2 linked regions of the Caenorhabditis elegans genome follow. The protein of the gene in region 2 purifies or fractionates together with the protein of the main gene of each other region. This does not show direct contact. Each region holds a gene or a part of one and is shown on either strand. Other genes may lie near its edges. The genes, in order: deps-1 and cee-1.

Region 1 (5,287 bases), on a different chromosome or scaffold from region 2:
AGTTTCAAACTTTTGTTTCTCGGGAAAACTGTAAAATCGATTGCAACAAAAGTTTGAAACTACAGTACTCCTTAAAGGCGCACACTCTATTGGCATTCAACTGACAACAAAAATTTGTCGTGGTGAGACCCGGCCAGTGCATTTTTTAGAGCAAAAATCGCCAAAATTTCGCATTTTTTGCAGTACTGTGACCTTTGCCTCCGTGTTTCCATGGAATTCATGTTCCCGGTGGGTGTGCTCATTGTGTTCTCGATCACACAGATTCTTATCACAGTATCTCCGGGAATGGCTTCTCGTATTCGGAATCCGATTCCATCACTGGCTTCGTTCATCTATATGTCATTTGTTTGTTTTTAACCTTCTGATACACCTAATCTTTTCTGAAATTTCAGTTTTTCAAGTGCATAACGAACTTGCTCACGTCTATCGCGATGCTACCCTATCTTGGATGTACCGATCAACCATCATTTTGGGGGGAGTATCTCGCTGCCGGCTTGTTGGGACTTTTCTGGATGTATTCGCTGCTTAACATGGGTGTATTCACTAGAATAACCTACCACAACTTCATTAGAGCACGAGAAAATTACGAGAGACAAGTTGTGCGGAATGGGATGGTGGTGGAACTTGAAGTTTAAATAAATAAATGTTTGGTTGGATAACGGGTAGATTAAAAATGAGCAGAACATTTGAAACACAAATACGGGGGAAAACGGGATGCGTATATATTTAATTAGACCCTGGAAGATGTTGAGCTTTGTGGAGTACCAGATGGAGTTCTGCGGCTTGAAGGGCCAACGAATCGCTGAAAAACTTGTTTTTATCATCTTCCAACCTTAAAAATAAACTTACGTTTGAGCTCACTGAAGTAGCTGCAGATGCTCTTGATTGAATTGATGATCTGGATCCAATGGAACTTCCAGCTGGCGTAGTTCTGGCCGATGTTGCTCTGCTCGAATTCGCGCTCATTGCAATCAACGGAGGACAGATGGCTGTCGAGCATACTTCCATGATGGTAGCAGCACGGCGACAATCATTGACAGTAATGGATTCACGGACCCATGCCAGGAACCTTAAAATTCAGTTACAATTATTTTTACAAATCCTGACACACTCACTTTCCTCTACATGGAGTCTCCAACTCTCTGAAATCCACAAATCCCATCGAATCACTCTCCGCCAACTGCTCATGATCGCAATTTGGCTTCAAGTACACTTGGAACAAGCGCTGAATATTTTCCTCATAGAATAAAAACTATTAAATAATTGAAGACTAACCGTATCACCAGAGACCGAGTAATTTTTACAAGTGAACGCTGGACATGGAGAACATTCGGTGATCATAATTTCACTGTCGACTCCAGCTTGTCGCTTTCCAACGAATTGAACTCCTCCGCCAATGGGGATTCCTTCCTTCAAGTTATTGGGGATTTTGAAGTAGACATTCGGATGTTTGGCACAAATGACAGTGTCTTCATTGATTCGAATTCCTTTGACTGGACCAACAACGAACTGAAAAATTCAGGGGTGAAAAGGACGAGTTTAATTTAACTTTAGAGACCTGAGTATCACGAAGCCAGTTTTCAAAAATGGACATTCCCGATGTACGAACAATGCGGTAACGGACAGATTTGTTTTCTGAAGTTCGAACAGCACGAACTTCGGCCTGAAAATTGAAAGCGTTTGTTTCAAAATAAGACCCACTCATGATTACCATAGCCTTCAAGAATTCATAACCAGCTGGATGAAACTCGAAGAATGAAAGAAGATGGTGTGGGTCATCAATCAATCCAAGAGTGCCCTCCTTGTCAACGAAGAGACCTCTGATACTGGCAGGAACGACGCGGGTAAGGAGCTGAAATAAAAATTATGTTCTGGACAAAAAAATCAATATTATAACTTACATTTCCGTTGACAGAGGTTACATGCTGTCTGAGAAGTGGAACTGGCTGAAGCTCATAGATCAGAAAACCGTTGTGCTGCATCGACCAAATAGCACTGAAATGAAAGTATTCTCCGACGGCTGGGTAGATCAAAGTCTTGTCCGTTCCTCGGGAAAATGGCTTCTGCAGTGGGATAATAAAGTCGAACTGCGAGAGTTCTTTGCAAATCAGTAGGCGTTCGCCGACATACAGGCCAAGCTGCATCTTGATGACCTGCAAAATCAAATTGTCAACGAGAATCCACAAAGCAACCTTAACCTCGGCCCATTTGTCTTCTGGCAAGTGCCAGCCTTCTCTCGGCTCGATATCAATTTCGTCGTCGCTATCAGCAGGCTTTGGATCCGGGCGCCAAACACCGAATTTAGAGTCAGGAGAGCCTGCGTTCCATGGCTGAAAGTTATTTGTTCAAAATCCCGTAAAAAATTTTTAAAAAGCAAATACCGCTTCACAGACGCGTGCTTGGTCGGATGGATCGCAACTGTCAAACGATTCGAATGTTGCAGTCATATTGAAAGGATCTAGACCACTCTTCATGGTAGTTTCGAATCGAATCCAGGCGTATAGCCAAACGTCTGGCTCCGCACGGGTCGCCTCTGTCTCTGCTGAAATAAATATATGGTTAGAGAGACGAAAATCAAGAAGAAACATACGCATGGTGACGGTGCATAATGGCGTCCAGAACGAGGTCGTTGAGGTGGGCTGGATGACGCCACCGACTTTCAAAATAAGTCCATTTCTGCTGGAAGACGCTTCATAAATTGGTTTTTCTCGTTTGATATGAAGGATTATCCTCTTATCGTGATCACAGTCCGATTCGTTCCATAGGATGACTTCACCGAACTTTAGCGGGATTTTGGATCGACGTCTAAAAATTCAAGTGTTAACAGATTAAAAATGGGCTCAAATCAAATAAATACTGACTCAAGATTTTTTGCCTCTTCGATATTATCGAAATTCCTCTCCAAGTTTGTTGGAACAAATGCGCACTTGGAGACACCGTACATGATGTTCTTCGGGGCCGCTTTTCCCTGAAAACGAGCTTATTATTTTAAATATGAAAACGGAGGGAATTCACGTACATGAGCTTGAATGAGATAAACGAGGTCCGTCTCCGAATCTTGGTTATCTTGTCCAGTGGAGGAAATGACGATACCTTGATAGTCAAAATATTTGGATTGGCGTTCTGACATTTTTGTCTGAAAATTGGATTTTTTGCAACAAAAAAATGATGAGCGAAACGAAAAAAAAGAAAAATCTGTAAAAAACGTAGGATTCGAAACAAATTTCCCACGAGAAATCAGATGCGCGGCGCAGTGGTCTCACCACGAAGAGCTACCGTACCTTAAAGGCACATTGGTGTTCAATGGCGGAAAAAAAAGTTTCGAATTTTTCCGTTTATTTTTCCATTAAAATTCTGTTTTAAAACTTATTTTTTCTGATTTTTCAGCGAAAAAATGGCAGATATTAGTATCCGCTCGACAAATTCCAATATATCTCGAGGAGCACGTCCGGAATCAGGCCGCCTGCACCGAAAATACCCGTATCGCTGGCTTTTCGATCAAGTTCATGTCAAAGTAATCGATTTTTTCCGTCTAAAAGCTAAATTTTAATTTTCAGAGCCTGATATTCCATGTGGAAGTGGGAATGCTCGCCATTGCCATCATCGGGCTCTACAGGGCCAGTCAAATGAGTGTCGACGAGCATTTCGAGCCGCCATCCGTTCCCGGCTTCGATGGACTTCAGTGGAACGGCGAAACGTTTCGAAACTTCAATGGAGTGCTGATCCGCCCGAATTATGTGCCGGCTCGGAATTTAATCAATATTTTCTCGTATTTTCTGATTTTTAGGTAGGGTTTCAGGGGATATTTTAGACTTTTTCCATCGATTTTCTTCAGCATCGCAACCGGATTCTTGGGAATGAGGCTCTCCGAGACGAGCATCACACGTCGAAACTTTCCCCGGAAAGTCAACCCGGCTCTTCTACTCATTCCATCCGCAATTTCTGTGGTATTTTGCTAAAAAAAATCGATATTTTCCCTTGAAAATCCTAAATATTTTCAGATTTCCATCTTGTACCCGCTCTCCGTGTGGACGCTGCGGACTCTTTACTCAATAATAAAGCTTTTAATCAAGGAGAATCTGAAATTTTCGATTTTGTTAGGTAGAATTTTTAATTTTTAATTTTTAAATGTGGACTACACCCTGTGGGGAAATTGCTTTAAAACACGCCTATGGTACCACAATGACCAAATATCACGTTAAAAAACTTCAAAAAAAATTTATAAATTTTATATGATTTTTTGAAAATTGAAAAAATCTGAAAAAGTTTTTGCCTAATTCCTATTTGAATTACCGCCAATTGAACTCGTTCGTTGGAGCGCGCTTGCATTATTTTTTTTATTAATTTATTCTATTTTTCTTCTATTTTTTCATTCCGTGATTATTTTCACTCGGGAATCGCTCGCCCACTATGGGGGAGTCTACGCAAGGACAACGCAAGGACAAGGACAACATTTTAATGGAATGGAAACGATTGCCCGACTGCACCAATTCTAGTTCAAGCGAACAATGATAACTTTTGTATTCTGTATTCCTTCACGTCTCCCAGCGAGCGTAATAAATTATTATTATTATTATTATTATTATTATTATTATTATGTCACTGATTTTCTTCATTAGTTGTGTATTTTTATCGGAAAGAGAAGTAAAAAAGCAAGATTAATGCAGAATGTTTGCTAAAAAGTGTTTAAAAATGTGAAAAATACGTAAAACTGTAAAATAATGAGTTCCGACGACAACAAACCTGAAACTAGCATATTTTTCAGTTTTACGCATTTTCAGTGATTTTTTAATCGGAAATTTGCATTTATTTTAACTTTTTCTCTAAAATTCAAGCAAAAATACACCGAAAACATTGAAAATCGGTGGAAAATAACAATAAATAAAATAAATAAATTTAAAAACGTGCAAGCGCGCTCCATCGAACAAATCCAATTGGCGGTAATTCAAATAGGAATTAGGCAAAAACTGAGATTTTTTCGATTTTCAAAAAATCATATAAAATCTAGAAAAATTTTTTGAATTTTTTAATCATGATATTTGGTCATTGTGGTACCATAGGCATGTTTGAAAGCCATTTCCCAACAAGGGTGTAGTCCACCTTTAAAGATTTTTAATTTTTAATCTGAAAAATCTTGATTTCTTCACTCCAGACGCCTGCCGATTGTCGTTTCTTCCCATCATCCTAGTGTGGGCAGTCTATATTTATTTTCTCTACGGATTCTGGCTAGGCGTGCTATATTACCAGCGACGAGGCGATCAGCCATCTCCGACTACCAATAATAGTG
Region 2 (3,818 bases):
ATTTGGTCAAATACATTGCGAGTACACCAACACTCCCATTGGATCATCCAGGAGAGTTTAAACTCGCCAAACAATTGTTGAAGCTCTCGGATTGTGTTCTTCTTGTTTTGGACAGTCTTATGCTTCATCAAATGTGCGACTACGTATATCAGTTGGCCACTCTGTTCCACGACTTCTACAACGAGTGTTACGTTATTGAAAATAAGGAAGGAGGTATGTGTGTAATTACATGTCGAGCCTTTTAAATAATTTATGGAATCTTATTTTCAGAAAAACCATTTGTCCATATGCATCGTCTCGCTTTGTGTGATGTTACCCGAAAAGTCATGTCAACATGCTTCAAGATTCTCGGACTTCGCGAAGTCAACAAGATGTGAGCACCGGTGTTTTCTTCTATCATCCCCGTTTGTTGTTGTTTCTTAATTATTTGTTCATTTTTTGCAACGGCTCGTATTTATCTATTCAGAACGTTTTCCACTGTGGGATCCTATTATCACCAATAAACTCGAATTTTTATATTCAATAAAAAGCATCAGTTAAACCCAATATCACATGAAAGAAGAGCGGAACAAAAAGGGGTAATCGGGGAATATTTCCAGTAAATAAGGAGCAATTTTCAATAAGAAAAGGTATAGTTTAACATGAAATCTAAACTTAATCGAGATCCTCTTCCATTTCAACTTTTTGAATTTTCTTTGGAACTGGAGCTGGAGCCGGTGCACCAGCAAGAGCGCCAAATGGACCGAATGGAGAAGGTTGAGACATGGCAGCTGGCTTTTGACGAGCTGGAGTCCGAGAAGTGATATGAGAAGTTGCAGTTTCTTCCTCTTTTTGACCACCAAGAAGTCCTAAAATAAATGTGTTAATTATTTTTTTAAATTAAAATTTTAAGCGAACCTGAAAAAAGTCCACCCAGACCGCCGCTCATGCATTGATTATCACGAATTCCGAAATAGAGCTTCCCAATTCTCGTGAGATATCCAATGAATGCGAGGGACCTTTTCAATTCTGTTTGATAGCTAGAGGTGAGCTCCGAATATTGAGGTTGCTGGAAAAACAGTTTTTAAAAGTCAGTGTTCGTTTTCAACTCACGTTTTCCGTCTCAATAACGTCAAATAATATGTGCTGGAAATTGAGCAATGGCTTTGTGAACGGATACTTGGCAGGAGCCACGTATTCAGTGAAAAGAGATACGGCAAATGGGAAACGATCGAGACAGAGTGACTGAAAAACGGCTTCAACAATAATGACTTCTGGTTCAGACTCTTTTTGTTTAAAGCTTTCATATTCTTGGTGAAGGAAATTGGCGAATGATTTAAAGTCATCGGAAAGCAAGAAATGATTTTTGGCAAGTTCCACATGATCGACGGCAACTAGCTTTTTGGCGAGAACAGTATGAAAGGCTGCGGAACCGTATTTCTTCTCAATCGGAGTGGTTGCTTTTTGCTTTGTCCTGAATTAAATAATCAAATAATATTTTAATTGCCTCGACAAATAAACCTACCATTGAATGGCCAAGTCAACACATTTACAACGTGCAGTGTTCAACAACTGTTCGGGTTCTGAATTTCCAGCCTCGTTCTCAATCTCTGCAAAATTAGCGAACTTTGAGACGCTATCAGCAAGAATATTGAAGGCTTCTTCTCCAAGATCAACGTTATTTTTCGAGAGACACTCGGCATATTGTGTGGTGATATCGATGGCGCATTGATATTGTTTTTCTGAAAATAAAAAAGATTTGATTTTCTATTTTGGTTTTCAAACCTCTGAAGAAGAATTCCAGTGCGTGTTTAACGAGTGGAATAGCCACTTCATTTGCATTTTTCAATCGGAAACTGCGTGTGACCTTGGTCCGGTAGAATTGAAGAGCATCATAAAACTTTTTCTCTTTTTCAAACTCTGACAATCTCGAAAGAGTTGTGGCGTCCATTTGATCTCAAAAAAAGAGAAAATGTATTCAGAATATTTCAAATAAGATATTTTACAAGAAAACTCAAAATTTTATTTCGATTTTGTGGTTTTAGAGACGAAAAAAAAGTTAAATAAAACTGGTTGAAAAATCGTGGAAATGCACAAAAATTGACTAATATTCTAGGCCACGGCCGAGAATCCGAATGTCGTGTACTCCTCTCGGACAAGACAAGTTGTCAATTTTTGGTGTTTTTTCGCTATAATTCAACGTTTATTAAAGCAATATGGGTACTCTTCAAGGTAATAACGAGAATTTCAATAGTTCAACTGTTGAGCATATATTTAAGCGATATAATTATAGATCTTCGAACAAGCACCTGGGCGTTTCTTGAAGTTTACGGATGGATGACAGTTTTTGTTGTGATCTTAATATACATTCTTTTCAAGAAGTATATTTATGACTTAATGGTAGCGAGAGAAGAAGAACGAAGGCTTATCGAGCAGAAAAAGTTCGGTAAGAAAACCACAGATTTATCCATCAATAAAACGTTTCAGATAGACAAGTTCAAGACAGAGAAGCCGATAAGATGCGATTGGCAAGACAGAAACAACAACGAGAGCACGACGAGAAAGAGAAAATTGAAACATCAAAACGTGAAGAGAAACTGAAAGAAGAAGCCGAAAAAAGGCAACGAGAATATGAAGAACAAGAAAAGGTAGTTACTTTAATCAAATACAAAATATTTATTGCCTCCAAATCGTACTCTTTTTCGCTCAAACAATTTTCTTCCATTTGTTGCCAATTTTGATGCGAGCTGGCACAAAATCGGGGCACTCGATCTCCAACTTCAATTTCTTCTTCTCCTCACGATCAGGAATTGTGACTTCAACATCCAACTCCAAAATCACTCCGTTGCACGAGACGATTGGCGAGACACGAACTTGATCAGTCAAGACCTTGCATTGGAGTTTCTTTGCCGCAGAAGCATTGGAACCGTTGCGAATTTCCTTCAAAAAACTATTATTATTTTGGGGACTTTTTTTGAAGAGCAATACCACAGTCTCCATTTGTTCCTTAGTCGAACTCATGCAACTGTACTCGGAAAGTTTCTTGCTCTTCGAAGATTTCTCAGATTTCTGCAGAGGCGGTGACAGAGACAATGGTCTTGGCTCATCATGGATCTGCATGCTCTAGAAATTTGCAATTTTATTAAAAATTGAGCCGGCATCTACTGAACCTTTGAAGCAATGACATCCCCAGTACTACGTCCGATGGTTCCATTCAACGGTTTGGTCACTTGCACTTCACAGCGGTCCCCTTTCTTTGGCAAAGCGAGCAAAATCTGAATGATTTAGAATGAAAGTCTGAAAATTTCATTGAAAAACATACCTTCTCGACTTCATTGATGGTATGAAGAGAAAGACCATTCAAATAACAGATCGTTGCATTTGCATCCGCCATCTTTGAAACTAAAATCCAAACTGATTTCAATCGAAGATTTTCATATTGAACAACAAAAAAAAACAAACACGCAGTTTGTAGAGCTTCACGGAACGAACTTTTTATTTATTTATTAATTCTTTTCTACTCTTTTTGAATTTTGAAATTAACAGAAATAAATTTTCAGACTTGTAACGTACTTGGCCACTCGTCATCAACATCGTCTGTATTAAAAACATCAATTATCAATAAAAACGAGAAAGCCATCAAAATTGTGGAGAATATTCCGGACTCAGCGCCAATTGTGGTTTTTGGAGAAAGCAACTGTCCAGAGTTTAGGTATAATGAAAGGCATTTTCAACAAAAAACATTAGGTTTTACAGAAAAGTTTGTCAATTGGTGTCAACATATCGACTCGATATCTCGAAATTTCAAGTTTTTGAGCATGATAAGCAGTCAGATTGGC

Evidence for each region.
Region 1: the proteins of cee-1 (region 2) and deps-1 fractionate together in Caenorhabditis elegans (co-fractionation; one large-scale study listed by BioGRID). This does not show direct contact.

What each region holds. Positions count from the first base shown.
Region 1 is NC_003279.8:504,320-509,606, reverse strand, and holds deps-1 (P-granule-associated protein deps-1), read right to left. Parts: upstream 3,135-5,287; 5' UTR 3,131-3,134; coding exon 3,020-3,130; intron 2,969-3,019; coding exon 2,862-2,968; intron 2,806-2,861; coding exon 2,591-2,805; intron 2,543-2,590; coding exon 2,382-2,542; intron 2,331-2,381; coding exon 2,199-2,330; intron 2,154-2,198; coding exon 1,902-2,153; intron 1,853-1,901; coding exon 1,712-1,852; intron 1,664-1,711; coding exon 1,559-1,663; intron 1,510-1,558; coding exon 1,276-1,509; intron 1,226-1,275; coding exon 1,116-1,225; intron 1,070-1,115; coding exon 850-1,069; intron 803-849; coding exon 731-802; 3' UTR 636-730; downstream 1-635. Other genes in the region: Y65B4BL.7 (uncharacterized protein), read left to right, coding at 184-345, 393-635; Y65B4BL.4 (Dolichyl-phosphate-mannose--protein mannosyltransferase), read left to right, coding at 3,395-3,514, 3,558-3,787, 3,836-3,947, 4,002-4,101, 5,153-5,284. UniProt on the Caenorhabditis elegans protein: Component of P-granules which is required for P-granule formation and integrity in adult germ cells. Promotes the accumulation of glh-1 mRNA and localization of pgl-1 to P-granules. Involved in RNA-mediated gene silencing (RNAi) in the germline.
Region 2 is NC_003281.10:4,910,816-4,914,633, reverse strand, and holds cee-1 (Get4 family protein), read right to left. Parts: upstream 1,936-3,818; 5' UTR 1,931-1,935; coding exon 1,765-1,930; intron 1,722-1,764; coding exon 1,505-1,721; intron 1,454-1,504; coding exon 1,093-1,453; intron 1,049-1,092; coding exon 898-1,048; intron 849-897; coding exon 655-848; 3' UTR 501-654; downstream 1-500. Other genes in the region: rars-1 (putative arginine--tRNA ligase, cytoplasmic), read left to right, coding at 1-213, 271-377; F26F4.2 (PDZ domain-containing protein), read right to left, coding at 2,686-2,919, 2,968-3,102, 3,150-3,254, 3,302-3,373; F26F4.9 (Glutaredoxin domain-containing protein), read left to right, coding at 2,196-2,211, 2,273-2,425, 2,467-2,627, 3,540-3,691, 3,736-3,818.